Rhinolophus ferrumequinum: one gene and its partners. The protein of the gene in region 3 interacts with the protein of the main gene of each other region in a pairwise test. Links are inferred from orthologs where the notes say so. Each region holds a gene or a part of one and is shown on either strand. Other genes may lie near its edges. The genes, in order: CDCA7L, DHX15, ZGPAT and DVL2.

Region 1 (6,828 bases), on a different chromosome or scaffold from region 3:
TACTGTGACATTCATAAATTGTTTTAAGTCATGTAATTACCTCAGTTTTCTGTCCTGTGTATCTGACCAGGTCAGAATTGCTGTGATTTCTGAGGTTTCTCATGACCACTAAATATTCAGCTCTCCAACGGATGAGACTGTAGTACATCCAAACAATGGCCAACTGGCCTTTTAAATACAGGGCTTGTAAAGTGGCAAATCACTGTGCTGTCCTTCCAAGAGTCACAAATGACCCCCCTCCGTGACCAGCTTTCGGGCTCTGGGCACACATTGTAAGCCCAGGATCAGATGGGTACACACTCTGCAGCTGTGAGGTCAATCCCCAAAACATTCCCCTTTACCCTTTCAACAGCATGTCGCATGCTTATTCATGAGCATTCAGCGTCATTTCCTTCTCTGAGGGGCCAACCTGCATCCTAGAGTCAGAAGGGAGTTAAAGGACAGCACCAACATTCAGGATCTCCCCGTTTCTCTGCGAGGAAGCGGAGGCAGTCTCATCCCCCAGCTCTTACGAGCTGCACTGCTGAGAAATCTCAGGAAGGGACCAGGTCCTTGCCTTTACTGGGTATTTTTCCTGTCATTCAGCACGAAAGCACGAAGACACAGTGGTCGCCCAAGGACTACAGCCCAAGGCAGATCAATGTCAAAAGACATCAAATCCAACACACTGGTGAAGTTTCAAAAAACAGGCTAGAAAGGTGTGGAGGGTTCAGATGAATGTCTCCTGGTCTCCTCCCTGCCTATTTCCCTCCTAACGTCATAACTCATAACATCAGGCCTAAGCTGCTTTGCTGGAACCCCTTCCAGCTCTGCACTTTGCAAGGAATGGAAATTGTATTTACTGAATGTGTGAGATTAAAACCCACTGCACACTGCGCTGAGCCTTATTCAGTGTGCACTAATGCTTTATTCATTAGGCTGGGCCACAGGGTAGAACCACACGAATTTAAGATCTTGCTGTGTCTGAAATGCTCATTAAGTGCTCTTGTCTTGTCTGCAGTCACCTGCCCACCCCACAGAACCACTCTCCACTAATTTAAAGAGACTATAATCAGCTCACATTTAAATTATGAACATTTCCCCTGGAAAAAATCATCACATATCTTAATTTGCGCTGCCAATTAGAAGATCTTTAGGAAAGAAAAAAAAACACCTGATCATCTTACATATAGTAATTTGCCCTAATTGGTGCATAATGGGTTGAATATAATTTGTGGGTTACCCCCACATTGGTAAATAGTTTAACATTTTAGAGCTACCGAAATTTAGCTTCATTACTTGACAGGAAAATGTTCAACTACACATTCTGGGACATTTTGAACTTTCTAAGCATGAACGATGTATAGAAGCGGTGCAAGTGCAGGTCCAGCAGAACAACAGGTTTCAGAAGCAATACATTTTTAAGATACATTTGCTGATGAAATTCACAAGGGGCTCAAAGCTCCTTCCTGAAAGGTTTAAGTCTTAGAGAGACCTGAACTTCCCAGAAGCATAGGATACTAATTATATGGTAAAGGCCAGTGGCAGGAAAAAAATAAATAACCCTGTCTCAGTCCTTCTTAATCCTGAGTGTTTGTTTTCTTTGCTTTTATAATACCTCCCCTCACTGGAGAAATTTAAAAATGATACTCTTTCTTATAAACACCCACATAAGACTTCTCCCAAATGTCCACTTTCAGGAAGCCTTTCAGAAATCACTAAATGGCCAAAGCGACCATTACCGACTCTACCTTTAATCTGCCGCTGGACCCATGCGGGTGACAGCCGCCTGGGCTCAGGCACCACTGGCCACCCGGGCAGCTTTGCGCCGGCCGCTTCTCGTCTCCCAATACCAAGGCTCAGCACCCAGGGGGAGAAAAGAGGTAAACACCAGTCGAAGGAAAAGTGGGAAGCAAGTGAGTCAGAGGCGTTCAGAAAAGGAAGAAAACCCCAACCCTCCATCTCTCGGGCTCCCACAAGCTGCTTCCTTCCCTTTTGGCAAGTTTTTAGTTCCTTTGAAACGTTTATTTAATAATAATAATATGGAAATAATATGTATATTCATTACTAGAAGTAGAGAAAAGCTTTTACAAAGTAAAAAAGAAAACTGAAGCCACGTTCACATTCCCAGCATCCACTGAAACATCTGGGTAACTTATGCTCAAGTGTTTGTTAATGCGATTTTTAAAACCTAGTTAAGATCTTAATGCGTTAATTGCGGTCGTGCTGTGTATACGGTTTGGGATCTTAGGGCTTTTTGTTTTTTTAATTTGGCCTAATGACGTTGCTATCCCCACCCCCACTCCGCCCCAAGTGGTTACAAATTTCTTGGAAAACATTTACAAAAGTTCTAGAACAAATACAAGAGCAATTCCTTTTAAACTCCATTTTCCAAATTGAACTGGTCGGACTCGCAATTCTGTGTGTTTTTTTTTTTTTGTTAAGAAAAATTACACTTTTCTTAAACTTGTGCCAATTCCCGGAGAAAATGGGGGGCGCGCACCGGAAAACATTCCCCACCCCCTGCCCGGTTCCAAGAGCGCAACAAATGCAAGCGCTGCGCCCCGGCTGCCTCCCCGCCTGCACTTCCCTCGAAATGCGTTAATTCCTGGGGCTCGGGGCGGCAGCGACCCGGCCTGCGACCCCTGGGCACCCACCCGGAACGGAGGCCAGTGCGGAGTCGCTCAGACTCTCCAGTCCAGCTGGCAAAACAGTGACCCACTGCGCACACCTGCAGGGCGCGCGGCTCCAGGGTTCGCGGGACTGGGTGCGTCCGATCCACAACGCGGCGGCCAAGGGCCACGTTTCCAGCCCAAGGCGGGGAGGAAGGCCGATAGCAAAGGGAGGCAGGCCGCAGGGGCGTGGGGGCTGCGACGAGCGGCCGGACCCTCACCTGCGAGCGAGTCGCCAACTCCATTCTTCCACCGGGAATCCAGCCTCCTCCTAGCACGCGGCCACGGAAGCCTGGCTTGCCACGGGGCCGGCGCACGGAGAACGCCCGCGGCCGCGCAGCCCGCGCGCTGCGCCGGGAGCTCCGGAGGGCCGGGGGAGGGGCGCACTCGGCGCCCGGGACAGGGGGAGCGCGCGGCGCCGCCCACTTGGTGCCGCTCCGCTAGGCCGCGAGGCTCGGATCACAGACCCAAACTTCATGACCAGGGAACTTCGTTTTGCAGGCGGCGCAAGAGGGGTCTGCAGATGGGCGCAGCCCGAGACGGCTGCCAGTGTGGGGGTGCCGGGCTCCCCCCTGCAGCGGAGGGAGGGAGTGGAGCCGTCCGGCTTGGTTTCGCGCGGGAGAAAGGAGAGGGGGCAGTCCCGGCGCAGCCTCCAGCTGGCACGCCCCGCTACGCGCGCGGGATGTTTGCAGGGTTTATTCCAGGTTATTCCCTGTAGCGCGAGCCTGTGCTGCAATCAGTGTTTCCGAAGTAGGAAAGCATTTTAGGGCTGCTTCAGAGCTCCCCTTGTTTTGTGGTACGGGGCGAGGTTGTGCCGCCTCCCCAAAGTTTTCGCTACCGAGTTCACTTTGCAAAACAGGCAACCCAACCCAAGTTTCTTTACCAAGGCCCAAGGTGGGAAGTTGCAAAACCCCCTGCAACTTTAGACGACCTTTGCTCTGCTATACATTGTACACGGAGGCCTCCAACGCCGCTAGACGGGGAGTTCTTGAGGTCAGGAATGCTGATTAATTTTAACAAATACTGGCTGAGCACCTACTATGTGTTAGGCACTGTTACACCTGGGAACACATGGTTAAACAAAAAACAGGTCCCTGCTGTGTTGGAACTTACAGTCTGGGAGCTAGCCACCTACGCGATGATATAAATGTAATAATTATGCAAACACATGTAATAATTTAATAATTAATTAACAATGAATTCAAATGATGAATTCAAATAATGAATTCAAATGAATTCAAATAATGAATAATGGTGGTAAGTTCAATAATAATGATGCAAATAAATGTAAATTTGGAGCTATGATAGATGCCCTGCCGGAAAAGGTAAGTGGTACTATGGTGATGTAAAACGGGGGATTTAATTTGGCACAGGTCAGGGAAGACCTCCTAGAGTTCAGGTATGAAGAGTGAAGAATTACGCGGGTGGACGCGGGTGGAAATCGGAAGGCTTGAAGTAGGCATTGTGGAGGGTGGTAGATGAAGGTGTCTTGACATCGTAGCAGGTTTGCTGGGCAGTTATTGAAAGCCTATTTAGCCCTGTGGTCATGAGTTCATATAGGAACACTATGCTTGAGCCCTTCTGCAGCCTTTCTTGGCTGCTTGGGAGCTGACTTTGCTGAAGGAGTGGATGAAGTTGGCCAAACATTAACTCAAGCTTGAAGAGATAACATCTGGGAACTGTCCTTCCTTCTTTCATTGGTTCTGCAAATGTGTTATGTGTCCTCTGTGTTCCTGACCCGCATATACAGTGTTTGATTTAAGCAAATGTTTTGTTTTCTTTTTATAATGTAAGCTGTTGATTATAGCCACTTTCGTTTTTACTATGCTTTAGAGTTTTCCTTCACATACAGTTTTTCCTTGAATTCTCCCAATGTTCTTCCAGATTCCTATTACCCCCTTTTTTTTTTTTAGGGATGGCGCAGCTCACAGTGGCCCATGTGGGGATTGAACCCGGTAACCTTGATGCTACCTAGCACCATGCTCTAACCAACTGAGCTAACCAGCCACCCTGCCCATTTCTTAAATGAGGAAACATAATTGAAGAAAATACATAAAGAAAAAGATCCCTGCCACCCTGCTATTAAATGACAGCCGCAGGCTGCCAAACTGGAAACCATTCTTATGCCTCAGATTCAACATTCTCTCCATTATTCTTTACTTTTTCCCTTTGGCTGCCAGGAAACTCGGAGTAAAATTTATTCAATCAGAACTTTCTCTTTTTTTGGTATGATTGCTTCCCCATGAACTAGTGATCTTATTTTCATTTATTTCCTTTCATTGTAGGTTGCATCAAATCCCTTTTGGAAAAGGGACTATAAATTTGAAGTACGTCAGATTTTGCAAAGCCCTTAAAGGAACCTAGTTCTTACGTGGAAACCTGTAAGCTGCTGAGCCTTCCTGCTTTAGAAATATGCTGTAACCAGTCCTAAGTCTTCAGATGGCAACCTGGAAATTGTCTTCCTTTGTCTGGCAAAGCCCATGCACTTGAATGGTATTTAGTAATTGATTCTGTAGTGGTATTTTGTTGTCAGTTTGTGGTTCCCTTCTGTTTAGGGAAATCATAAAGAACCAGGGAATTTTAATATCCTGTGCTAATACTTCCTTCCCATGGTTACTGATGGGATTAATAGCATGTGAGCATTGGATTTCAGAATGGCACTGCACGAGTGACTGCCCCTTCCCACAAGCAAGAGTGTACATAATCGCAACAGAGAAAAAGGAGACGTAATGTTTGCAAAATTTCTTTAAGAAGTCTCTGTCTAGAAATCTATGCTTGCTTGCCTTTTTAAATGTTTCTATGAGAGAATAAAAACTTGGTCCCTAGTGCCTTCAACAAGGTAAGAAATTTGTAATTAGATGCCATCACTTGAGATGCTTTAGATGCCATGAAATAGTTGTACTTGGGATGTCAGGCCTGGCCCACAGTTTTTGATTTGTAAGAGGAGTTCAGATATCTCTCCCCTATTCTGCACTCGCCACAGAGCTCAGCTGTGGGCAAACCCCTTAGTCTACGCTTTATAACAGTGAATTGCACCAGTTTGGTGTTCTGGGTAACCCAGCAAAGAATCCACATGTAACAGTAATATCTGCACACTGCTTTGCATTCTATGCGCTCCTGAATAAACAAAGTGACACTTAAACAAGATAACATCCCTGGTTGTTCTTGATCGACTGGTATTTTGAAACTTCTATCTCATTCTGATTAGATAAGACCTAGCCTAGAAGGGGGAAAGATCCCTAAATTTGAGACACTTAGAGATAACCTTTCCACATTGTTGTGGATTAAAAGATCTAGAATTGAGTCCCTTGTAGCGACACTGTCACCTCAACGACTGGGTGCCTTTTTGGAAAGTTTTCTTTCATCACAAGCTGGTATTCCATCTTCCTGACGAGGCATGCCAACATAATGCTGTCACAGCCTCACAATGTAAGTACCTTCTGATGAAAAGCACTTGAAAGGCTGCGGAGAAAAGAACCTGAACAAGCAATAATCAATGCCTTCATATACTGGGTACAGAAACGTACACATCATAATGAAACCGCAATGCCCATGGCTCTACCAAAACGTCAGTAGCAATAGTGATGTCAGTGAGCCCGGTGCTGAGTTCACCGTTGCGTGCCTTCTCACATTGAATCCTTCAACGGTGACAGTCACCCACCTGCTCCTCAAAAAGAGTGCTGTGAGAATAAATGAAACAATATTTCCAAAGTATTTCGGATTTCTTAGAGATGCTATGTAAACCCCAAATGTGATTAATGCCATCCATATCTCATAGGTTTTTGCAATATGTAGGTATATTAATAATTTACTATTAATAATTATTAATAATTAATAATTGATAATGTATATAAATGAACATAAAAGATGATTATAACTAGGCACTAGTAATAAATGGATGAAAATGAGAACAGATTATTTAATAACTCACCTTTCTAAGAACTTATATCTCATAAAAGGAAATTGTAATGATCCATTTCTAATCAGTGACACCAAAAACAGTACTGTAGTACATAGTTTTTAAAGAACAAAATTTTTTCATAATGAATTATGTAGGTAGCATTTTTTAAAGTAATCTGTAGAATATCAACATAGAATTCACAATATATCCATAAAAAATAACTGATATTACTTCTTAAATGACAGAAAGTCCTAAGACATTTCTTTAGTTTGACAG
Region 2 (7,676 bases), on a different chromosome or scaffold from region 3:
GGACATTCTTGTGTTCCCCAGGGCAAGTTACTTAACCTCACCTATATCACAGGAATTGTAGTGAAAATGTGCTTATACATATAAAGCACCTAAATAGTTTCGGGAACATAGTTACATACAGTGGTACCTAGGTTTTTGAGCATTTCAGAACTCGGTCGTCCGGAACGGATTACGTTTGAAAACGGAGGTACCACTATATTTTACATGTTATTGTATCAGTGTATTTGTTTTACATTTCCACAATTAACAGGAAAAGTACTTATCAGGAATTAATCAGAAACTAAGACCAAAGTGAAAAATGTTCTATTTTCAAAAAGTTTTTTCCACACTTCAATAAGTAGTTGTCTTCTGCATAATTTAATATAGAAATTTTTGTGGGATGATGGAAAAGGAATACCATCAGTTTGCAACAGAAACCTTCAACTTCTCCACCTGACCCCAAAACTAAAATATACCAGGAGTAAATAAAACTATACATAGTGTGGGAACTTGAAACTGAGTGAAATCTCCCACTAAATTATTTTCCGTTCTCAGTATTGGGGAAATGGTACAGCCATGTTTGGCAATGAAGTTCACAAGACAAGCCTACCCTCTCAAATAAAGCCACTTGCTAACTGTCAAGGCTTAAAAAAACTGCAAAACAGCATGTCTGTGAAAAGAGACTTTCAAGTTATAAAATATGGGGGGGAGCAGGGGGAACCCAAGCACTAAAACGTTGTAAGCTCAGTTAAAGAAAATTAGTTCTGAGAAATGACATTCAGATGACACAGAAATGAGTATATAAATGTCCCCCCAGAATTATCTCAGAACTTGGGCTTTATTACAGGTAGATGTCAGACATAGAAAGTCCACATTTTTTACTAAGGGTATCAGTTTTGCAAGAGAAAGGGAACCCATGGGACCACTAATCCCAAGAAAAGTATTTAAATGTTGCACACCCACAAATATGAATAAATGAATTCATTCCCTCCTAGTGTACTTTGTTTCAATCTGAACTCTTATGAGAGAAGTCAGATGACGTCTTGCATTTTACCCAGATGACAAGCAATTTATCTTTGCTTCACAGGAACCAAGAGTCCCCTACTTTAGTGACCCATAAATGTCATTAAATTAGGTTGTCATGACTCTTAAATACAGTCATAGTCTGTAGTGTAATAGAAAAAGCAAGAAGCTAAGAGTGCAAATGAAAAGATCAAGGTTCTAAATCCAGCTGTGAACTGGGTTAAGGTTGCACAAGCCACCTTAACAACTCTGGGTCTTCCTTTCTCATCCCTTCAGTGGAGCTGATTATACTCTCTTTTAAAGTCACTTGCAACTCTAAACAGTCTGAGGCAAGGAGTTCTAAATGTGCTAAAGTTTTGCTGAGGGTGTGGGGAGGGAGGGAAGAGGAGACAACCTAAAAAGAGAGAAAACTAAAGTCTAACATTGTAAACTAAAAATTTTACAAGATTAAAACATTACCTATTTCTGCTTTCCATATTCACTATATGGGAAGGGATCAAAAAGTACACCCTATCCTGGTTTATACACTCACTAGACAGATACCTGGAAACCAATGCAAATGCACTTTGGGTGAAAAAAAAATTCACAAAAGTTATAAAGATGATTTGGCACCGTGATTCTGAACACGTGCACACAATAAAACGGTAAAAATACCTGAATTATCCGAGTAAAACACTGTACTTCAGGAATGAAAACACACTGGACAAGAAATGATTTTGATGCAATTGCTGAAGTCTATTCATCTGTATCTTTAATGAACGTTAAGGGAAAGGAATCTGAGACACCACCACTCCATTTCAACTCTCAACCTCCCCACGTGCGATATTTTGCCATCAATGCTAAAAATTTTTTTTTGAAAAGGGTCTTCTTGTTGCAAAAACTAGTTATGCAGGAAGGCGGGAGGACAGAAATCAAGAATTTATTGGAAAAGAAATAATGCCTTTTAATTCCTATCCCAGGAATGCCCAATACCCAGTTTTAGCCAAAGCAGGAAATAAAGGAGATGGCGGGAGCATAAGCAGAGAGCGGAAGTTTGCCTAGTATCTACTTTGAAGTCTTTGAATGGACCGAGGCACGCGCTCTCCCGCGAAAGTATAAACTCAGTGGCTCCATACGACCAGCCTTCCTGCCCATCAGGTATATTCCACGTTTTCCTTTCTCCCGGCAGGCCTTCTATTCTCCCTTCCCCCGGCAACTCCTCGTCTGCACGCTTCATTCAACTCCCGCTACCCCCATCCCAGTCAAAAAGAAGAATCCACGCGTTTCTCTCACTTTCCGCCCTCCTCCTTTCCCCTAGGTGGGCACCCACCCGCCCCCAAGGCCCTCTCCGCGGCCCCTCAGCCTGGTAAGTACCTGGTGCCCTTGGAAGCGAATACTCCCGCCGCGCCCTCCCCCATCCCCTCCCCCGGTTCCAGGCCTTACCCGGGAACCCAGGCCACGAGGTCCGCGGTTTCCTCCCGCCCGCTCCCCTCCAAGTGACTCGTTTGGCAGGGTCCGGGGAGGCGCCCTCGTGGCCACGACAGGCCTCTCCACCCTTCCGACTGGGCCCGGCGGCGGCCGCGCAACACCTCTCCCCGCGCCCTTGCCCAGCCGAACCCCGGGAGTGGCGCCGCTCGCTCAACCCGCCAATGAACCCAGCCTAAAGAGAAACAAAAGGCCGGGCTCCAGGCCCCGCTTGGCCAGGCCGGCCTTGGTCCGCTTCCCGCCGGGACCCCAACAAAGCCCGAGCCTCTGCCTCGCGCCCCGGGCCTGGCTTACCCATCGGTCCCCGCACGCTTCTTGCCGGAGTAATCCTCCCCCAGATCCAACCGGTGCCGCTTGGACATCTTCGGACTCTTCGAGCGGGCGGTTATGAAGGAAGAAAAAAAGAAAAACTGGCGGCCTAATCAGCGCAGTCGACAACAGCTACTTAACTCTGGAGGACCCCCACCCCTCCCGCACCACAGCCTACACGGCGCGGCCGGAACCAGGAGCTAAAATGGCGGCGGCGACGAGGGCTGGGCCGGCGTGCGCGCTCCCGCAGCGTGCTGTGCGTGCGTGGTGAGCGCGCACGCATCGGAGGCGGGAACTCCAGATCCGCCCAATTTCCTTCCCGCCGGCCTCCGCTCTCTTCCTGGTACCAGCTTTAGGCCGTTCGAGCGGCTGCTAAGTCGGCTGTCCCCGCGTAGCCTTCACGCCCCTGTCTGATGTGAAGAAATTGAGAGAGGTGAAAGATCAGTTCTAGGTAGGAAATCCTGTCCATTTGTATTGCCCTGGCATTAGGGGAGTCTGAGACCCAGGGAGTTTGAGAAACCCAGATCATATGGCTGATACCGGGCAGAGCCAGGATTGGAACCTATGGTAACTATTTTGTAACTCCAGTTCTAGAACTTGAAGCCACTAACCACTCAGTGTCAGTGAAGAAACTGAAGTGAGAAAAATGTCAAAACTTGCCATAATCCATTTTGCCCTTTTCTCTCTCTCTTTTTTTTTAACCTAGTATGGACTGTATGTTCTCAACCTATTGATGTTTTTTTTTTAATGTGGAATAGAGAAAATTGCTGACAGTAAGGACATAATTAGCTTTTTGTTTTCCTGTGTGCCTGTTATGAACTTGTGGTAACCCTACCTCTACCCTTATTCTTACAGTCACCCTGGCAAGGTAGGTGTCATTTTATAGATGTGGACCCTAAGGCAGAGGGAAGTTAAGAAGTCACACAGCCATTAGTGCTGTCCCTAAAGTCATAGACAATCGTTAAGGTAAGATGACTCTTAGCACTTTAATGGATCTCTCCCCCAGACTATCTGCTTACTCAGTTGCATTCATTCCCAGAAGAAATACATAAAAGAAAGATCTGTGGACCAACCGAAGCTGGGTGATCTATGTAGTTCATGAAATGGATGTTTGGATGCCCTGGAAGACCATAACCAGGTTCTTATCAAATCCTCAGAACTGCAACCGCTAAGGTTAAATACAACCTTAATACTGCAACTGATAAAGAGGGTTTTTATTTTTGTACCTAATCCACATTACAAAATCAGTACAAAGAAAGGCGAATATCTTCATTTATAAAATTTTCTGTACAACTTTTACCCTAAATGTATGTTACCGTGTTTCCCCGAAAAAAAGACCTAACCGGAAAATAAGCCCTAGCATGATTTTTCAGGATGACATCCCCTGAACATAAGCCCTAATGCGTCTTTTGGAGCAAAAATTAATATAAGACCCGGTCTTATTTTAAGGGAAACACGGTAGCAGTATATTGACTTGTCAGGGGTCATGTTGCATAATCACTGAATTGTAAACCTGGAAAAGAGTTTCCAGCTGATTTTCCCTTCTTAGCTCATATTACAAATGAGCCCCTAGGTCATGCCCACGTTCACACAGGCAATTGGTGTCAAAGTCAGAATTAAAATCCAGATTTCACTCTTCACTACTCCAGTCCCAGATATCTAGGTTCCCAGTTTGAGGGCAACTATAAAGTACTCCAAAATTTTGGAGAAAAAAATGAGGGAAAAGGTTAGAATTCCACCTGAAGAAGTGCTCTACCCTTAGAGGCATCAGCCTCTCATAAATGTGCAAGGAGACTTGGTAAAGGAGGAACCGAAGTCAAGATGAAGAGACTTTCTCCTTGGGCTTAGCGTATATCCCTAGAAAACTGTAACCTAACCAATTGTGTTGTAACTGAAGTGGCCATATTTACCAAAGGATAGAGACCCTTCTGGAATCTGTAAGGGGAACAACGGGCCAGAATCTGCCAGGATGTTCACTCTCTCTGAGGAAGGGCAAAGTTCTGGGTCTAAATGATCCATTCTAGATTTTCAGAGCAAATGGTCCCTGGAATAAAGAAGAGCCATCTACCAGCCCCCGTACAGCCTCAGAGCCCAGTTTTTTCCCCTAAGCCTACTTTCATCTTTTTCCTTTCACTGGTGTTGATCCTAAATACTCCTTAATAAACTTCCTGTGCACTAGTCCTTGCTTCGAAGTCTACTTTTCATGGAACCCAACCAAAAAGATTTGGTGCTAGGAATGGCCCAAGAAAGCAGAGTCTATGATTGGATTTTGGACCTGGCCACCCATTGGTGGCCGGCAATGACTTAGTGATGGCAGGTAGAACATAGTTACCACTATGTAGAACATAGTTACCACATAGTTGCCAATTGCAGGGCAATTGTTAAAATTTCACCCCCCGTGGTGTACTGGGAAAGACCATGCACTGTTTTCAAAGTATGGAGGAAATAATAACTATAAGAACATCGGAATTTGATTGACTGTTGCTAAGTGGACTTGATACTTTGGAGAGAGATAATGAAAGGCTGAGAGTAATTAATCTGCAATTCAAAATTAAGTGGGAAAGCTAGAAGACCTTCTGGGAGCAAATAAACAGATTCTCATCTCCTGCAGTGGAAAGACAAAGAAAAATGATGACCAATCCCAGGACTTAAATATAACAGTTTCATAAGGCCAAGTGGAAACTTACAATGAAGATTAAATTCTCCACTTAGACAGGCATGATACGTCAAGGTTAGGGCCCTCATTGAGAAAGGGTGCACCTCTGACACCTGGGAGTGGGATATTTAGGTTGATAGACCTGAAAAATCTTGAATTCCTAAATTCCCTTCAACCTGGTGAGCTTGTCAAAATGCCCTGCTCTTCCCTATTAAAAGCTAATTCTCCTTCCTTGTGAGATGATCAGAAGCCTACTCTCTGAGACATAATATGCACCTCCCTCAAGATATACCCCTACTTACCCTGCTGACCAGTAGGCAAAAATTAGGGTTAAGTCACAACATAGAATATTCCAGGGACATCCTAGGGCTGATAGTATTGGAAAATGACTCCAAAGAAGCTGTAGGATCTAACCATCAGGTACCAGCAGGAGCCAAGAAAGTATGCATGGGATGGAATTCTGAAGGTTCTGGATAAAGAAGGGAGGAGGGAGGTGGAACATAAAGTTAAATAAGGGAAATTTTATCAATCTGGAAGTACTTTTCCAGGATACAGGATTTAACATACACAAGAACTCCAGGCAATGGTGTAAACACACTTAGGATGTCATCTAGAAGCGTGGAAAAAGCAATGCCACAGTCACCAAGAAAGGCAGAAGTGCCAGAACTGCTGTGCATCACAGTGTAAAAGGGGGTTAAATAGCTGAAAGAAGTGAATGTGTTAGAGTGAAAATACTTACACAAAGGTGGAAAACCCAGCAGAGGAATATATTCCACAGGAAAGTTCAGAAGACATACCACTTACTGAATCCATAAAGAATTTTCTGGTGAGGGAGGCATCAACATCATTCAGAAATTCAGTGGTGGTTCTCTCTATAGTTCAGAGATGAAGGTAGAAGATGCCATTTCAGACCTGAGCTCCCTGAGAGTAGTAAAGATGAAAGGGGCCTGTAACAGAAGTAACACGGTGGCATTTCAACATCAGAAGCCAGGTGGATGCTACAAGGTAGTAGAGATGGTAAATAGGACAAGGTATCTAGAGCAAAATAGATGGGCAATCATCAAAGGATGTCCTCAATCTGAACAACCAAAATAAATCAAGAATGGATGATCAAAAGATTGAGGGCAGTTGCCCCAGTGAAAACTTGCCCAGTTTCTAGACTTGCGCCATGTCAAAAACCAAACTCTGCACACTGAGTACAACAAAGCAGAAAGATGAGTTCATTGCAAGGGTTTTGACCTATAAGCTGGGAAACCCAAGGCTACTGGAGCAATGAGTTCTGAGTTGCTCACAGACTAGTAAAAGGTTTTTATGGCGGCAAATGCAGAAGTTATTTGGTTTTTTAGTTGATTGGTTACCCAGTGGTCTCCTGCCTTATTTGGATCAGGTTAGCTGAGTCAGAGGAACATGAAAGTCCAAAGATGCATGAACAGACTTGACAGTGGAAATTGGCTGAAGTCCTCTGCTTATTTCTGAAAAGAACTGTAAATTCCTGCAACTTAGGTAAGGTTAAGTTTTGTTTTTCTTTAATGAACCCACATTAGCCAACTGCATTTTGTCCCCAACATAAGTGACTTAATTTTAGTTTTGGTTCTACGACCAGTTTTGGGACCTGGAGTACATTGATTAAGGTAACTGCCATGTCCCTAGGAGCAAGGACTACAACACGTAACATCACTGTGTGCACAGTAATAATTCTCCAAGTCCTTTCTCCAAGTGATCTATAGCCATTCTTTTAGGTAACCATACACTGGGGGAAAGAGAATATTCAAACATTTCAAGGACAATTGGATACGGAATCTGAACTGACATTGATACTGATAGACTCAAAGTGTCGTTATGGGCTCCCTGTTAGAGTGGGGGCCAATGGGAGTGTCTAACGAAGATCTGGTTCAGGTCCAGCTCATAGTAGTTTCCCTGGGTTCTCAAACCCACCCACTTGTCATGTCCCCAATCTATAAATGTACACTTAGAATAGACACTCTTAGTAGTTGGCACAACCCTCATGTTGAATTCTTGGCCTGCAAGAGGTAAGAACTATCATAGTAGGAAATGCCAAGTAGAAGCTTATGAAACTGTCCCCCTCTCCACTCCAGCCAAGATACTAAATAAAAAACCTGGGGAGGAGTTTCTGCTTATACCTCCAAGCATGTCAAGTTTAGAAATTATCACTTCCATTCTTAGAAGAAAAAGCTGGACAAACTGAAAACTAATGGCTTTTCTTGGAGCCCTTAGAAAACTGAGT
Region 3 (8,011 bases):
GTGACTTCTTTCTTTACCCAAAGCGAAAGGAAATATGGAAAGGAAGACATTTGGATGACATTCAGGACATCAAGGGTAATATGACGACAGCTCTGATGGCCATTCCAGAAAGAGAGTTCCAGAATTGCTTTGAAGGGTGGACTAGGCGCTGGTGTTGGTGCACAGCTTCCCAAGGGGAGGACTTCGAAGGTGACCGTAGTGACACTCAGCACTGAGGGATGGAGCGCTTTTCCTAGGAGGAGTCCGCCCTGTAAGCACTGGCCCACAGGACGCTTCCCCTCAGGACTCACCACATCACTGCAGGCCTGTTTACAGTGGTTCCTTCTAGCCAGTACATCATGTCTGGCTATCAAGAAAAAAACTACAAAACATGCTAAAAGGCAAAAAATACAGTATACCAAAACACAAATAATGGAATGCCAAAAGGAGGAGAGAAAGGCGCAGAAAAATGTTTGCAGAATTAAAGAATAATGGCTGAAAAGGTCCCAAATTTGATGAAAGACATGCATCCAAGTAGTATAAACTCAAGAAGATCCACACTAAAACACATTATGATCAAAGTGTTGGAACCCAAAGACAAAGAGAAAATCTGGAAAGCAGCAAAAGAGAAGTTAGTGACTCTTCACTGACCAGGGGTCTCAGTGAGACGAAGAGGATGAAGGAACCCACCCGAAGAGGTTCCCACTTGCCAAGGGTGGGAAAATTTGAGCCTCGGTAAGGATCAGAATCACAATGGATTGAAATTTATCAAATATACTCAAATCCATGGGTCCATATGGATATTAAATATTTTTAGAAAGCTAACTCATCATCTTCTCAGGATGAAAGAGAACCACTTCATTATGTTGGAAACTAAGTAAGTGAAACAGAAAAACCCTGCCTTTTCTGCATGAATTGTATCACTGGGTAGACAAATCGTAGGCGAGGGGAAGCATCTCTTTATAACATTCCAGCTAATGAACAAAAACGAACTCACAGGATGAAAAGGTCTCTATTTTACAATCCCCCCGGAGTCAATGGATGCGGCATGGAGCATCAGTGGCTGCCAAGACGACAAAAGGCAAAGTGGCCAAGTGGTCATCAGGTGCCTCCTGGTGAACGAGCAGCACCTCCAGGCTTGCCGTGAGTGTGATCGAGACCCTGGGCCCAGCCGCCAGCCTGGGGGTACACAAGAGCCTGCTCCACTGCACTGGGTTGTTCACTGATGGCCCAAAGGTCCATCAACGGTGCAACTGTGAGGCCAGGAAAGGCAGGGACAGGGTGTGTGCAGCCACATTCAGACACAGCAGGCACGAACCAGCGTGTCCACACCGCAGTGATAAGCCACAAAGACTCCAGGAGGTGACCATCCTAAAGGGCAGGACAGGGTCATTTCTGGAGGAGGAAGGAGGCTGTGTTAGGTTGTGATGTAAGGAGGGACTCCAAGGGCGCTCGGCAAACTTGTCGTTTTGATCTGAGTGGTGATTACGAGGGTGTTACAACAATTCCCCATACTATACGTTTACTTCCTGTACCCGGTTTTATTTTATAACAAGATAAAAACTAACAGTCTGTGTCCTTACTACATTCAGAAACTGTTCTGAGTTCCGCGCACATACTAGTGCGTTCCACAGTCCGTTTCACAAACCCAAGCAAACGCGTCCAGGAGGACACTGCTGTAAGGACCCACGGGCCTGAGCTCTGTCCCTGTCAGCACTGTGCTGGCCAGAGGAGCACAGAGGGCCAGCCACGACCCTGGTCCTACCGCGAGCCCCATGTCGCCACAGGGGCCCCAGGAGCGAAGGGCTTTACCTGCAGTGCTCCTTGAAGCGGCACTTCCCCTCCAGGTAGAACGGGCAGGTCTTCAGGGCCTTGTGGGTGGGGTACAGGTAGAGGACGCGGACGCCCGCGGAGCCATCGCTGGCCTCTTCTGTGCCCACAATCATGGCATTGTGATACTCCAGGGTGCCCCACGGGCTGTAGTAGGGGGCATTCACTTTCCTGCCACTCAGCTCTTCCTCGTCCTCCTCCTCCTCCCCTTCCTCCTCCTCCTGCCCAGGCTTGCTGGGTTCTGGCCCCGCCTCTGTTTCAGGAACAGTGTCCACTTCTGCCCTGGGGGCTACTGGCACCTCCGTAATGGCCTTCTGGAAAGCCAGGTACTCTGCGCCGTCCTGGGCTGGGTGCTCTCCATCCAGTGAGGCCAGCAGCTTGCTCTTCCTGACGGACACCAGGCTGGCCTCCGTGAGCTCGATCAGTTCCTTCAGGTCGCCTTGCAGCTGGCGCAGGTCCGCCAGCGCGGAGGGATCCAGGCCGGTGCCCAGGGCCAGCTCCACCTGCTGCAGCTGCGTGTCGTAGGTCTGGAGGGCGGTCTGCAGGCTCTCCTCGTCCATCCTGTCGGGAAAGGGCTGACTTCCCTGGGTCCTCGGAGGGGCGGTGCGACAGCAGAGCTGCAGGGAGGAGAGAAACCCGCTGAGCCCCGGGACTGGCCGCCCTCCTTCCCAGGCCACCGCTGAGGGTGCCAGGGAGCCCTGCGCCGACAGCTGCACTCAGGGGACCTCACGACCGCCTGCGGAACCGCGTGCGCTTCTCTGTCCCGTTTTGGGGCGAGAACACAAGCTGGAAGAAGTTATCAGCTCCGAGTGGAAAACTCAGAACCGGACCTTGGCCGCCGGCCCCACGGCCTCAGCTCCCTTTCCGGCCGCCTTGCGCTGTTGCGTTAGGTTTCATCGGATTCTCCGCGTCTCGGCCCCGCGCTTGGGGGTCTCCTCGCGCGCCCCCAACCCCGGGATCCTCTCAGGACGCCGCCTCCCCGCCCCAGCCTCCCGGGCCGCCGGCTTCCGCTGGCCCTGTCACCTCGGGCCCGGGCCCGGTCGCCCAGACCGCGCCCCTCTTCCCAGGCCGGGCACCTCTTCCGCGCAGTCCGGCCGCGCCATAGAGTGCGCGCCGGCCTCCTCGGCTAGAGCGGCCCAGCCCCGGGCTTCCGCCGTCGCAGCCCCCGAGCACTTCCTTCCGAGCGCCGCCGCCGGAAGTGCCTGCCGCGGGGGCCGCCGGGACGGCTCCGCCCCTCTCCTGGCGGCCGGCCGGATCCCATCGGGCGCCGCGCGGGGTCAGCGGGGTCAGGCGCGCGGTAGCTGCGCGGCCCCGGCGAGCACAGGTAGGCCGGGGCAGGGTCGTCGACTCCCGGGCGGGCGGAGCCGGGCCCCGGGCCCTGGGCCCGAGGGCGGGGCGGCCGGTGTGGAGCAGCTAACGGCGGCCGGGTTGCGAGCCCCGAAACCCGGTGTCAGGGCGGGGTGTCGGGCTCCGAGGCCTCGCCGCCGTCTGTCCACGCCACCAGCCGCCTGCCGGGCTGCTCCGGGGCCGCAGCGACCGGCCACCACACGCACACCCGCCTGCAAAAAGCGGAGCGTCCCCGTTAACGCCGGCAGAGGGCCCTGCTGCGTGTTTACCGGGCGCCGGCTGTGTGCCGGGCGGCGCGCCGCCTCCGAGGGGCGTGACCGCCGTGGGAGAAGACTCGGTGGCCCAGGCCGGGCGGGAGCCAGCGTGTCCCTGGTTGCGTCCGGGGGGCGGGCCGAGCGGGCGTGCAGCCTGGAGGGGCGGCCTGGGGGTCCCTGGCTGTGGTCCTGAAGCCGGAGACAGCCGAGGCCTGATCGGCACTCGGGACGCAGAATGCCTCGGGGGGCCGGGAGGGGGCGTGAGGAGACCAGGGAGTGGGTCGGGACCGCCGGTGGCCGGCGTGGGAGGAGTCATGGGCGCGAGTGCGCGGGGCGGAGTGGGCGGGGCTTACCCGGGCCGGAGTGGAGGGGCGGGGCGTGCCCTTGACCGCGGTGCGAAGCCGGCGGGAGGGAGGTGCGGGGAGATGGCTTCCCGACTGACCTCTCGGCGCCCAGGGCAGGATGTACACGCTGCTGTCCGGGCTGTACAAGTACGTGTTCCAGAAGGATGAGTACTGCGTCCTGATCCTGGGTCTGGACAATGCTGGGAAGACGGTAGGCGCTTGCTCCTGCGACCCCGCCCCGGGGGCTTTGGTCCTTTGGTTTTATACCTTTCGCTGCCTGTTCATTGCCCGGACAGAATCCAAACCCGTGGGCCATGGGACCGTCTCCACCAAGTGCTTTAAAAGCAAAACGTTCTGTTCTGTTTTAAAGACGTAGGCCCCGGAAGGGGCATTTGGGAAGCCGACTTGTAAAGCCACACCAGGCCTTACCTGGTGCCTGTCTCGCTCTCTCCTCAGACCTTCTTGGAGCAGTCAAAAACCCGGTTTAACAAGGACTACCGGGGCATGAGTCTCTCCAAAATCACCACCACCGTGGGGCTCAACAGTAAGAAGGCCCCTGAGGGCTGTGGTTTGGGGGCAGGCCCCCGAGGACACTGACACCCACAGGCCTGCAGGCGACCCCAGCCCTGGGTGCAGCCTGTGCTCCCGCTGGCCCGCGGTCAAGAAGCACCCAGGAGAGCTGGGCCACAGCCTCACCCCTGTTCCTCTCTCCCCAGTTGGCACTGTCGACGTGGGGAAGGCTCGCCTCATGTTCTGGGACTTAGGAGGGCAGGAAGAGCTGCAGTCTCTGTGGGACAAGGTGAGACACATGCCACATAGCACCTGCCCTCGGGCCATGTCTCTCCAAACGGCACCTGTGGTCTCTTTCTGCCTTTTCTGACAAGTCCTCAGACCACCTTCCCTTCTGGTCAGCAGCTTCCATCACCCCTTGTTTCCCTGAGGCTTCCCCCTCAATCCTGTCCTGCTTCCCGAGTCACTCCCCTGAGAGTAACGACACACTCAGTTCCTTTGGGCTTAGAGATTTTGTTGCTAATGAACACAGGACGAGACAGAAGAGGGCCGAGAACAGACATGGGGAAGGCACGGCCTGGTGCCAGCTTCACTACCAGGCCTGAGGCTCCCCACTGTCTCCTCTCCGCTCTGGCCTGGGACTGGTCCTCCATGGTGTCCCCTTCCACCTCAGGGGACGATGTCCTCAGAGGCCCACAGCAGCTGCCTTCTCCTCCGACATAAGAGTTTGGCCATTTCTGAGATTCTCCCCACACTAAAGCAGGAGTCGGTCCCCAGCTCAGCCTGTGCCAGGGACTGGGGTCCAGCAGTGAGCAGGACAGACCCAGCTCCTGCCCTTAGGGGCTCTTCCCCAGGGACTGGCCTGGTGGCTTTGGTGCAGCCCAGCGCTGGGGGCACAGACGTGCCCTCCCCAACACTTACTGCCCATGTACTTAGAACTAAGTGTCAAGGTCCTGAATTCTAGACTGATCCCAGCAGCAGGTACCCAGTCACCCTCCCTGGTCCCCCTCCAAAGCGTCCCCTCCTGCTCTGACTTCCAGCCACAAGGGCAGCTTCTGTCCTGTGGCCACAGGGTTTGGCCATTTCAGTTGTTCTGACACCACACCAAGCCAGGGTCTTCTTATCTGATCCCCAGACCCACGTGGGGAGTGAGACACAGCCTGATATTCTGTCACAGGGCAGGGTCTCGAGCTGACGCTGAGATGGAGGGAGAGGTGCAGGGTGCGTGTCAGCTTCTGGAAGGGAGTGGGCAGGGGGAGAGGTCAGCTCAGGTGGCTGGCCCAATGGGGACCCCTGGAAGAGAATTTCTCCCCGTCGGGCCGAGCTGGCCAGGACTCCATATCACCTGGCGGGTCACCATGGTGGGCAGCCCTGGGCAGCTTTGACCTGGTAACGTGGCTCTTTGTGGGTCCTACAGGAGCCAACAAGGGGCTGTCCACTTGGCACAGTGCCCACCACCGGGCAGCAAGGTCCAGTGGATGACCGGTTCCTGTGTGGGCCACAGCCCACCATGTACCACTGGCATTCGTGCCTCTGCTATGGGGAATGGCTCCTCCATGACCCAGAGCCTCCTGAGGGGAAACTGGAAGAGGGGGAGGAAAGAGGCGACTGTGGTTCCCCTTTAACAACCACTGTGCGGTGGCCTGAGCCTTCCTTGTCTGGTGGACCCCTGGCTTCCTGAGGGGCTCCCCAGCCCTGCTACCGATGAGGTCAGTTCTCTCCACCAGGGTGGGGTCTCTGCCAACATACCCAGGAGGCAGGCACAGTTATAACTCGGCGGGTCTCCTGCTGTGCCCCGGTGATGACCACAGCCCAGAGCTGTGGGGATGGTGGCAGAGTCCCTTGTGTGTCACCAGGACAGATGAGAAGTGGGGCTCCTGGTCCCTCCCCAATTCTCAGACTCGGGCCATGTCTTCCCACGAGGGTGACCACCTGGCAGTCTGCCACACAAGGACTTCGGACCCTGTCCCTTCAGGTCACACCCAAGAGACATCCAGAATGTGCCCACCCAGAAGCCAAGCTTAGGCTCTTCCCTCTTCCCACTGGTTTTGTAGGATTCCCCATGTGGCCATGGCTGATGCAGCCATTGGGGTCTGGGGCATGAATGGTATCATGGGGACAGGGTAGCCTGCTTTGTCCCCCGTCCAGCACGTGCTCAGCCCAGATGTGCTGCGCCTGTGACAGGCCGTTACCAGGGCCCAGTCACACGGGGAGTGAAGTCTGCCACCTGAGGGGCTGTGGTGATTTCCACCAGGCTGCAGACCCCACACTGGCCCTTTCTGCACAGACCTCCTACATTGCAGGGCCTAGCAGTTGTCGGGTGTAGCCAGATGGCCAGCCTGCTGCCTGGAGTCCCCATAGAGGAGCTGCAGCCCTCCACAGAAGTCCCTGTGTCCGGGACTTGTGGCCTGCGAAACCCAGGGCCGCCTTCTCCGTAGCAAGTGCAGACATAGCGGCTTGCCTTAGACTGGTGGGGTCACACCCAAGAATGTGCCAGAGCGTCCTCCAGCTTGGTGACCACTGGCTCACCCTGCCCAGCTAGCAGGACCTCTGGCTGTGACGGGCAGGAGAGCCAGGGCAAAGCGGCAGAGATTCTGCTGTCTGCCCCACGTGAGTGCGGACGTTGGCAGTGCTCTGGTGGGGCAGACAGTGGGCTCACCAGCTGCATGGCTGCCCCTCGAGGGCCCCTGCGGTGCCTCCGGCCCTTCCTGCAGACCTCAGGCTCCTGCAGGAACAGCCTGTGGGGGCTCCTGTGATGCCGCTTCTGGCCCCAAGTAAGACCACAGATCTCTGAGCCCGGTGATCTGCCTCGGTCCTTGTCGGGACAGCTGCTGGGAATGTGGCACTGGCCTAAGCCCCTCGGTGGCCTTTGTGGGGCCTGTTGTCCGCAGTGGCATGAGGCTCCACTGGCATACAGTCCCCATTTCCCGGTCTGCATGGGGACCGGCTTGGTCTGGGCTCTGCAGTCCCCAAGCCTCACCTTTCCCCTTGAGCCACCGTCAGGCTGGCGGTCTGTGGTAGGTTTGCAGGAGCAAATGCTGAAGTAGGTTGGGTGCAGTGCCCAGGAAGTGGGCAGGGGAGGTGGCTGCCCATCCATGGCCAGCAAGCCCTGACAGGCCTGGGGGCGCAGCTCCATTCCGCCCTAGCTCTCCACCCCCAGAAAGCCCTCCAGAAGGGTGGCTGAATGCCCAGGGTGCAGCCCCCTTCTTGCCCCTCCCCAGTACTATGCGGAGTGCCATGGTGTCATCTATGTCATCGACTCCACGGACGAGGAGAGACTGTCGGAATCCAAGCAAGCTTTCGGTGAGCACAGCCCGGTGGGCTGGGGGGTGCTCAGGCCATGTGCTGGAGTCGGGCCCATACTAGGTCAGGAGGGCCCTGGCCACAAGGGATAGTGTCCACTCCCCTCCCAGTGCAGGAATGTGGGCCCCTGGGTTGCGATGGGCTGGGCTGGGCTGGGCAGTCGGGTGGACGAAGGGTGCTCACTGCCGCCTCTCCCCCATACCAGAGAAGATGGTCGCAAGTGAGGCTCTGGACGGCGTCCCCATCCTGGTGCTGGCCAACAAGCAGGACGTTGAGGTGAGCCTGCCCATTGCCCGGGGTCTGGGGGCCCGTTGCAGGGGCGGGCCACCCCCCTCAGATACCCCAAGCCACATGAGTGGGGGTACACAGCTCTCCTGAGGCCTCCCCTGCCCTCCACTGGGGTGCAGCACCCTGTCCTTCCCCGTTACCCTCAGCTGCGTGTGG
Region 4 (7,551 bases), on a different chromosome or scaffold from region 3:
TCGGAGTGACGGAAAGGACTAGAAAAGGAGACAGGGTCTGAGAGAGCCTGGAGAAAAGCACAGAAAAGCAGTAGCAAGCATTAGAGGCTCCAGGAGGAGAAAGAAGGCTAAGGGGCTCCAGCTGGCTCTCTCCAAATAGGTAGGGAAGCAAAGAGCCAGGGCCTCCAACAACTAAACAACAACAGTTGGGCTACAAGGCCAGACAGAAGCTTGGAGGAGCTTAGTGATGCAGGAGGGACTGGGCCCTCAGAGCCAGGGCCCCTTACCCAGGAGACCACCCTTCCATTGAAGCAGGGAAGGCGAGCATTGTCATCTGAAATTTCTTCCTTCACCACCCTGTCGAGAGACAGGATGAAAGTGAGACTGGACTAGCTCCCCCCACTTGCATCCCCAAAGTTTCTCCCAATCTTTATCCAGCTCAAGGATGCTTATGTTCTCCTACCCTGTCCAAGTCCTCTTCTCATACTAAAACACTTTGCTCTTATACCTAAGACATCTCCAAACTCAATTCCCTTTCCTTATTTCTCCTTCTCTCCCCAGCTCATCCTCAGTGGCTCAATGCTGCTCCAAAGATCTCAAGTGTGATTCAAACCTCTCAGTCCAACTTCAAAGTCCATCTCCTAAGGTTACCCCAGGTGCCCAAAATATCTGTCAAATGTGAGGAGCCTTGCTGGCAGCCTCCCCCAAACTTCAACCCTGTTCCTCACACACCTTACCCAAACAAGTCTTTGGTTCTCATCTAAGTCTCTACTCTTATGCTTTTCTTAGTTTTCTCTAACTCGCTTCCAGAGAGCTAAGTGTGCTGTTTTTGCTTAAAAATACCCATTAGACCAAAGAATGGTACTTTCTCACTAGGCTGAGAGCTCCCAAGGGGAGGTGAGGACCAGCTTTCCATTCCCATGCCTCACCTGGCACAAAACTCTGCACCATGCAATCTGGTCTTCCTGACAAACCCCAAAGCCTAGCCCTGGGGCCACCTGTCCCATGGGTTCCTTGTGATGGACTGGACTTGCCTCTTCTTCTCTACCACCACATGAAATCATTAATGCCTATTCTATTCAATACCATGTCTTGGCCACACAGCAAAGTACCCGATGCTTGGTAAATACTATTGAACACTAGTTGACTAAAGGAACATACATATGAACTACAAGGCTCTCTGCCCTGGACAGAAGCTCTCACATATACACATCCTCACCCTCAAATTAGGCCATCCTGTCTAATTAACCCTTTATTTAGCCTGATATGGTTCTAGAAGCCTGGATATATGCTAACTTAATCCCATTTGCTTTCAGTTGTGACAACACAGCCCAGTCACTACCAATCTGTCTCAGCATATGTTGTATTCTTCACAACATAATCCAGTCTCAGCATAGCCCAGCCTGCCAAGTTACTCCATTCTGTATTACTATAACCTAGTTTATGGACTAGTCAGACTCAGTACTGACAATTACCACTAACCAAGACTTAACTGTGTGCCATGCACCTGTACTAAGCATTTTACTCTGATTATCTCTGTTTCACAGATGAGATCAAAGCACAGAAGTTTTAAGAATTGCCCAATTACACTGCTAACAAATAGAAGAACCTTGATTTAAATCCAAGGTAACTCCCAAACCAGTACCACTTTCCCAAGATAAACAATCTTTCTAGACAAAGCCCAGTCTATTCAGCTCTCCTAGAACCCAGGCTACCCCAGCCTAATTCAGCCTGCCTTCAAGAGCTGAGGTTGAGAACCCAGACAGTTCAGTCCCAGAGGCTATAAAACAAAAGGGCTTACTGTGCATCATTTAAAGTCCCAGTTTAGCCCAGAATGTCCCAAATTATACCAGGATAACCCAATCTATTCTAGCACAGCCTAGAATGTCACCACATGGAGCTAGCTATCTGCACTAATATAAACTAGACTATCCCCAAACGGCTGTCTGTACTAGCATAGACCCCAACAGCTCTGTCTATCCTCTCCTGAGTGTCCCAACAAAAATTAGGCCCTAGTACAAACTAAGTTCAACCAATAAAACCCAATAGAGACCAGAATGGCCCAAGTTTCTCCAGGATAGCCTAATCTACTCTAGAACATCCCAATACAGCACTCTCTGCGTTAATACAGACTAGAATGTCCCAAAACAATCCTGGCTGCCCTAGTATAGGCCAGAACGTCCCAAGTTGACTAATATAGCTCAATCTAAGATTCCACAGTATCCCACAATATCCCTGTGTATTACAGGACTGCTCAGAATGTACTCAACTATCAGACAATAGATTAATCTACCTCTGCAGTCTAAAATATCCCAAAATAAACCAGTGCGCCCCACTCTATTACAGTATAGCCTAATCTTCTCTACTCTGGTTTAGTATAGCCCAGTCTGTCCTACAGCTCCGTGAGCCTCAATCTGTGCAAGCATAATAACCTTGTCCGTCCTGGGATATCCAATCTACCCCAGCCTAGTACAATCTGATCCACTATAGCCCAAAAAATCCCAGTATGGACCAGACTAGGCCTGTGCCCTTCAATATTGCCCAATCAACTCCAGCACAGACCCCATCAGCCCCAGTCTAGGCCTCGCGCTCACCCGAAATCCTGATCCATAGACTTGAAAAAGTATTTAGCACCCGCGGGCCGCTGCAGTACGCTTTTAAAATCGCCGAGGGTGATGCGCTCGGCGGGGACGGGGATCTTCACCAGGTAGGGAGTCTCTTCTTCATCCAGGTGGTAAATCACCTTCGTCTCCCCGACACTACCGCCCCCCGCGCCGCTGCCCGCCATGGTCTCGCCCGCGCGCTCTCGGGCTCCGCCGCCCACCCAACAGAGCTAATCTCCCCCGCCGCGCCTGCGCACACCCGCAAACCGACGAGCGAGCGCGGACGGGACCGCCCCAGTGCGAGAGAGATTTAGGAGAAAGGCGGGGGGTCAGCAGGGTGGCGGGCCGCGGGGCGCGACCCAAAGCCGCGTACTCGGCCGCCGCCGTGAACACCTTTCAGTGCCCCGCCCACCTCCATGCCACGTGACCCAAGCCGTCCCACCCCATCCTCGTAGCCGCCACGTGACCTTCTGATCACGTGACAGAACCGGCCCCTCCCAGAGCCCCCGCCACGTGATCGCTGCTTTGGGCAACGGTTTCCTAACCCTCAATGGCCCCGCCCCCAAATGTGTCCCCACCTGCGTCCTCCGAATACCCTGGCTCAACTGGCCTCTGCCCTCACCGGGCAGGCAACCGACTCCCACCCCGCTTAAGACCACTCAAGTGGGGAACTCCAAGCAACCCTCATCCACTGAAGCGTGTGTGGAGAGTCAAGGTGGGGTTGTGAGCTTCCAAAGACGCGGCAAAGCCAACCGAAGCCATAGGGTCGATGGGAGAGGTAGAGAGCCCTGTCCTCCTTCAGCTCGGACTTTCAAGATGGGTTTCAGGCCCTCCTCCAGCCCTCTCCTGCCAGCTTCTCTGAAGTCTCCCTCCCAAGCAGGACAGTCAGTGAGGGCTATAAACACAAAAGAGCCCACTCTGCTTTATTTACAACACGCAGGCTACCTGTACAAACAGCTGGCCAGTATTATTAAAAACAAAAGAAGTGAAAGAACCTTTGTCTTCCTCCCTCCCTCGGCCAGACTCTGGTTGGTACTCCACCTCTGAGTTGCCATGCCCAAAAGCGGAATTCCAAAATTAAAAATACAACCTGTGTAGAATGGGGAGTGAGACAAGATGAGGGAGGGGAGTGCTATATTTACACTAGAGTTTTATAGACAACTGTCCCATTCCATCCCAGTTCCCATCCTGGCCCAGAAAGTGAGGGGTGGCAGGTCCAAGGGACAGAGATTAAGTGTCTAGGGACCAAGGCAGCCTCCCACCCCTACATGTAATGGGTCCGTCCGAGTTATAAAGTCCACAAGGTGGGAAAGGATAGGGAAGGAACTCATGTCCAAGCCAGTCTCCCTTGGGAACTCCTGCCTTGAAGTGGGACAATATCCAAGCTTCAGGGGATAGGCTGAGGACCCTGAGGCTCAGTTCCCAAGTCATGTTGTCATTTGGAAGTTCCAGCCTAGAAATGTCAGGGCTCTCCAGATTTGGGAGGCGGACCCCCTAATCGCCGGGCCTCTGGCCGCAGTTCCTTGCACTTCTGGCAGTAAAAGAAGTCAGGGACATTGGTCTTCTTAATCTTAGCACAGGAAAGGTGGATCCATGTTCCACACAGGCTGCACTCAATCATGGGCCGCCCTGCAAAGGGCTTTCGACAGTAACATGTGATCAGGTCCCATGAGTCATCACCTGGGGAAAAGAAGGTTTGTTTGGTGTTCTGCCTGAGCTCTTGCATCCACAACAGCTCCATACCCATCATCCCAGCTGCCCCTATTCAGCCCCAAACTTCTCACCTGATTCTACCATGATGTCTTCATCCATGACCCGCATCTCACCTTCACTGGAGCTGGCATCTCCATCTTGGCTTGTTTCAGTGCTGCCCACCTCCTTGCTTTCACTGTCAGTGGGAGGGGCTCCTTCAGGGTGCACTGTGGCAGGGGGCCTAGGAGCCTCAGGGGGTGTTGGGAGCACAGGGGCTGGGGCTTCACCCCCTACCATTGCTGCAATCTCTTCCTCCTCTTCCTCTTCTTCCTCCTCCTCCTCCTCTTCAGAGTCTGTATCACTGGGGGGTGCCCGGGGAGGCCCAGGAGGTGGGAGTCGATCCCCCCGCTCTGCTTTTTTCAACTTCCGCTTCTTGCTCTTCTTGATTCGAGACCTCTTTTCCCCATCCCCAGGGGCTGGCCGAGGCCTCCGAAGCACCCCAAAGCCAGCCCCCCCTCCGGGCCCCAACTTTCGGTTCTTTCGGTCCTTCTTTCGAGGAGGCTGGGAGAGATCCCCCTGGGAAAGGGGCACTGGGGTGAGAGCAGCAGGGGGCCGGGACGCATGTGTCAGGGATGTGGGGGACAGTGGAGATGCCATTTTGGGCCCATCTAGATCAAATAGAGAGTCCTTGAGCTTCATCTTCTCAAGCAGTGTAGCACTGTCAGGGGCCTGCAGACGAGAGAAAGTGGACCTTGGAGGTCCTGGCTGAGTGGGACCTGCTTGAGCCGCCCGTCTCTTGGATGACTTTGCTTTCTTAACAAAGGTCTGGATGGTTCGGAGATCTGAGGGGGCAGAGTCCCAGCCATCACTGTCTGCCGCACTCTCACCTCGCAATGGAGAGCTGGAGCCGGAGGCTGGCCAGTCACTTTCCTTAAAAGGCGGACAAGACCATGGTCAGCAGGGGGCCCAGTGTCATCTCAGTTCCTCTATAAACCCAGCTTGAAAACCAGGGACCAATCTACTCCCAAATATCCTGCCAAAATCACCAATTCTCACTGTACTCAGACAATTTATCCCCACCCCAATTCTTATCACCTCTTGAGCACCTCCATGCTACTTCTGCCCTTAAATTCTATCCATCTCTCCAATTCCCACTGCCTTTGTAATGCTGTATCCCCCAACAAGAGACGTATTTCTTTAGTTTCCTTTCTGTGTAGCCTCATTTGTCACCATTTTCAGCTTCCTAAAATTTACCCAAAAGCATCTTCCATTAACACCACCCCAAGACTGTTCACTGCTACTCAATCCATCTATCGCTATTAAGTCCACCTTCACCCCAGATACTAGTTTTCCTACCAGGGTTTCTAACTGCTCTAGTCTTACATATATAATTTCTGGTAGCCTTCTCCTATAAATACAGTCCCATTTGCTCAACAGTCCCTCTCTAGTCCTAGGCCACCACCCTCAAGTCAGTTGACCTCCTGTCCCTACCTCTTTGCTAGGAGGGATGTAACCAGCATAGGCCAAGACAAAACTACAGAATTTGTTGAAATCTTCAATTGTTCTTCGACGTTTCTCTGGTGGCTGAAAGGAAGAAAATATGTATCACATGGAGTTTAAGAGGGGCATTCCCAAAGGGTAGTCCCAGGAGTGAGGAATCTGGAAAAGGTAGGAGGGAGAGGGAGAGAGGAAGGGGACGGTCGGTAATACTAGGCTGCAAGGTAAAGGGAAACTTCACCTGAGTCTCTGGTTTAAGGGTCGGAGGTGGATCTGTGAAAGCAATAAAAGCTGAGTCAAGGCACTAGAAGAGTCTGTATAAAATCCCACCTCTAAACCTTGGAGATGCCAAGCAAATCCCCTGCTCTCCCAAGTCCCTCAGCCGGGCCAGCAGGCCCCCAGCTGTGCTGGAACCGCCCCTGCTCCCCCTCCCGCCCCGTGAGGGGCGGAGCCTGGGCGCGGCGCGCTCTCAGGCCTCGCTATAGCGCTCCCCTTCCCCCCACCGGAGGCCTGGCGCCCCGCCCCCCCTCACGGTTTCTCTAGACTCGTCTACTCCGATCTCTTAGCGCCCCACCCCGCCATACCGCTCCCGGGGCCGAGCCCGGGCTGCCGCCTGACCCTGTCCTTCACATGCGCCCAGGGCCCCGAGTTTCTGCCGGGCCGCGCTCTACTGCCCCGGGCCCTCCGAGACTGCACACGCCGCCCGCCGGCCCCCAGGGTCCAGGATGACCACGCTGAACCGCTCCCCGCCCTCCAGCCCCTTCTACTCGAGCACGAGGCCCGGCGCGCCCCTCACCCCCACCCTAAACACACACAGAATCACACATCCAACGCCAGTTCGCGTCCGGGACATACCCGAGAGCTCTCACCCGGACGCGGCCCCACCTGCCCCCCCCATACCGCGCTCCCCACAATTTCGCCGTCCCTCCGCCCCCATCCGGGGCTTTGGCCCCTCCCCGTCTCGAGCTTCTAGGGCTCCCGGCCGGGCCCCCAGGCCCTCTTCGGAGCTCTCTCCGGACGCCGACCCCCCCCACGGCCCCCGTACTCACCATTAAGTCACTTAGGCTATAGACCCCTAAACTCTAGCCCCCCCCACCAGCTACTCTACTCCTCCACGGCAACCCCCGCTGCTACCGCCGCTCCGCAACTCCCAAGCTCTAAACCTCGCCGATCAACTCCCCCCCACCCCGCAACTCGCCGGTCTTAACCCCCACCCCGCCCCACCGCCCCTACAACTACCCAGCTCTCCTCGCTTCCAGGCTCTCTCCCCACAACTACCCCCCGGTACAGGTTCCTCTACCGCAGACAATACCCAGACACCCTCTTCTCCCACAACTATCTGCCCACCCCTCCAACATTCACCAGGCTATCTCCGGCGGCAACTACCGGGAGCTCCGGCACCACCGCCACAAACTCCCCCACCTCGGCGAACTACCGGGCTCCTCACTCAGTCCTCTTCTACCTCCTCCCTCCTCAACAACTCTCCGGCCCCCAGATCCTCCCAGCCTTCTAGCTTCAGGGCCCCAACCTGCCGGAGGCCCTTTCGGCCCCTAACCCCCAAGCTCCCGGTTTCTAGCTCCCACCCCCCCACACACAGCGTCTAATCTCCAGCTACCCTCAGCCTAGTCTCCCACTCCTCTTTCTCCAAGGTCTCACAACTCGTCGTTCTCCCACCACCAGGGGCAGGCCCCCGACCCCCTCCCCGCGCTCCCTCCGGGGCTCGACCTCCAAGTTTGCCAATTGATTCCTCACCCGCCCCCCGCCGGCTCAGCGTTCCGTG

The links.
Region 1: the proteins of ZGPAT (region 3) and CDCA7L interact in binary tests that used the Homo sapiens proteins (3 or more experiments, as listed by UniProt). The two-hybrid records come from large-scale screens. The link is inferred for Rhinolophus ferrumequinum from reciprocal best matches to the Homo sapiens genes ZGPAT and CDCA7L.
Region 2: the proteins of ZGPAT (region 3) and DHX15 interact in binary tests that used the Homo sapiens proteins (3 or more experiments, as listed by UniProt). The two-hybrid records come from large-scale screens. The link is inferred for Rhinolophus ferrumequinum from reciprocal best matches to the Homo sapiens genes ZGPAT and DHX15.
Region 4: the proteins of ZGPAT (region 3) and DVL2 interact in a two-hybrid assay, tested with the Homo sapiens proteins (2 studies listed by BioGRID and IntAct). The two-hybrid records come from large-scale screens. The link is inferred for Rhinolophus ferrumequinum from reciprocal best matches to the Homo sapiens genes ZGPAT and DVL2.

The regions. Positions count from the first base shown.
Region 1 is NC_046303.1:18,260,521-18,267,348, reverse strand, and holds the start of CDCA7L (cell division cycle-associated 7-like protein), read right to left. Parts: upstream 3,019-6,828; 5' UTR 2,897-3,018; coding exon 2,873-2,896; intron 2,824-2,872; exon of another isoform or gene 2,711-2,823; intron 1-2,710. UniProt on the Homo sapiens protein: Plays a role in transcriptional regulation as a repressor that inhibits monoamine oxidase A (MAOA) activity and gene expression by binding to the promoter.
Region 2 is NC_046288.1:71,716,626-71,724,301, reverse strand, and holds the start of DHX15 (ATP-dependent RNA helicase DHX15), read right to left. Parts: upstream 3,001-7,676; 5' UTR 2,829-3,000; coding exon 2,761-2,828; intron 1-2,760.
Region 3 is NC_046306.1:376,558-384,568, forward strand, and holds the start of ZGPAT (zinc finger CCCH-type with G patch domain-containing protein), read right to left. Parts: upstream 3,016-8,011; 5' UTR 2,913-3,015; coding exon 2,886-2,912; exon of another isoform or gene 2,833-2,885; intron 2,801-2,832; exon of another isoform or gene 2,640-2,800; intron 2,427-2,639; coding exon 1,792-2,426; intron 1-1,791. Other genes in the region: ARFRP1 (ADP-ribosylation factor-related protein 1), read left to right, coding at 3,873-3,965, 4,211-4,298, 4,471-4,553, 7,486-7,567, 7,773-7,843. UniProt on the Homo sapiens protein: Transcription repressor that specifically binds the 5'-GGAG[GA]A[GA]A-3' consensus sequence. Represses transcription by recruiting the chromatin multiprotein complex NuRD to target promoters.
Region 4 is NC_046304.1:11,598,205-11,605,755, reverse strand, and holds the start of DVL2 (segment polarity protein dishevelled homolog DVL-2), read right to left. Parts: upstream 3,011-7,551; 5' UTR 2,768-3,010; coding exon 2,574-2,767; intron 337-2,573; coding exon 267-336; intron 1-266. Other genes in the region: PHF23 (PHD finger protein 23), read right to left, coding at 4,045-4,262, 4,367-5,204, 5,766-5,858, 6,013-6,044.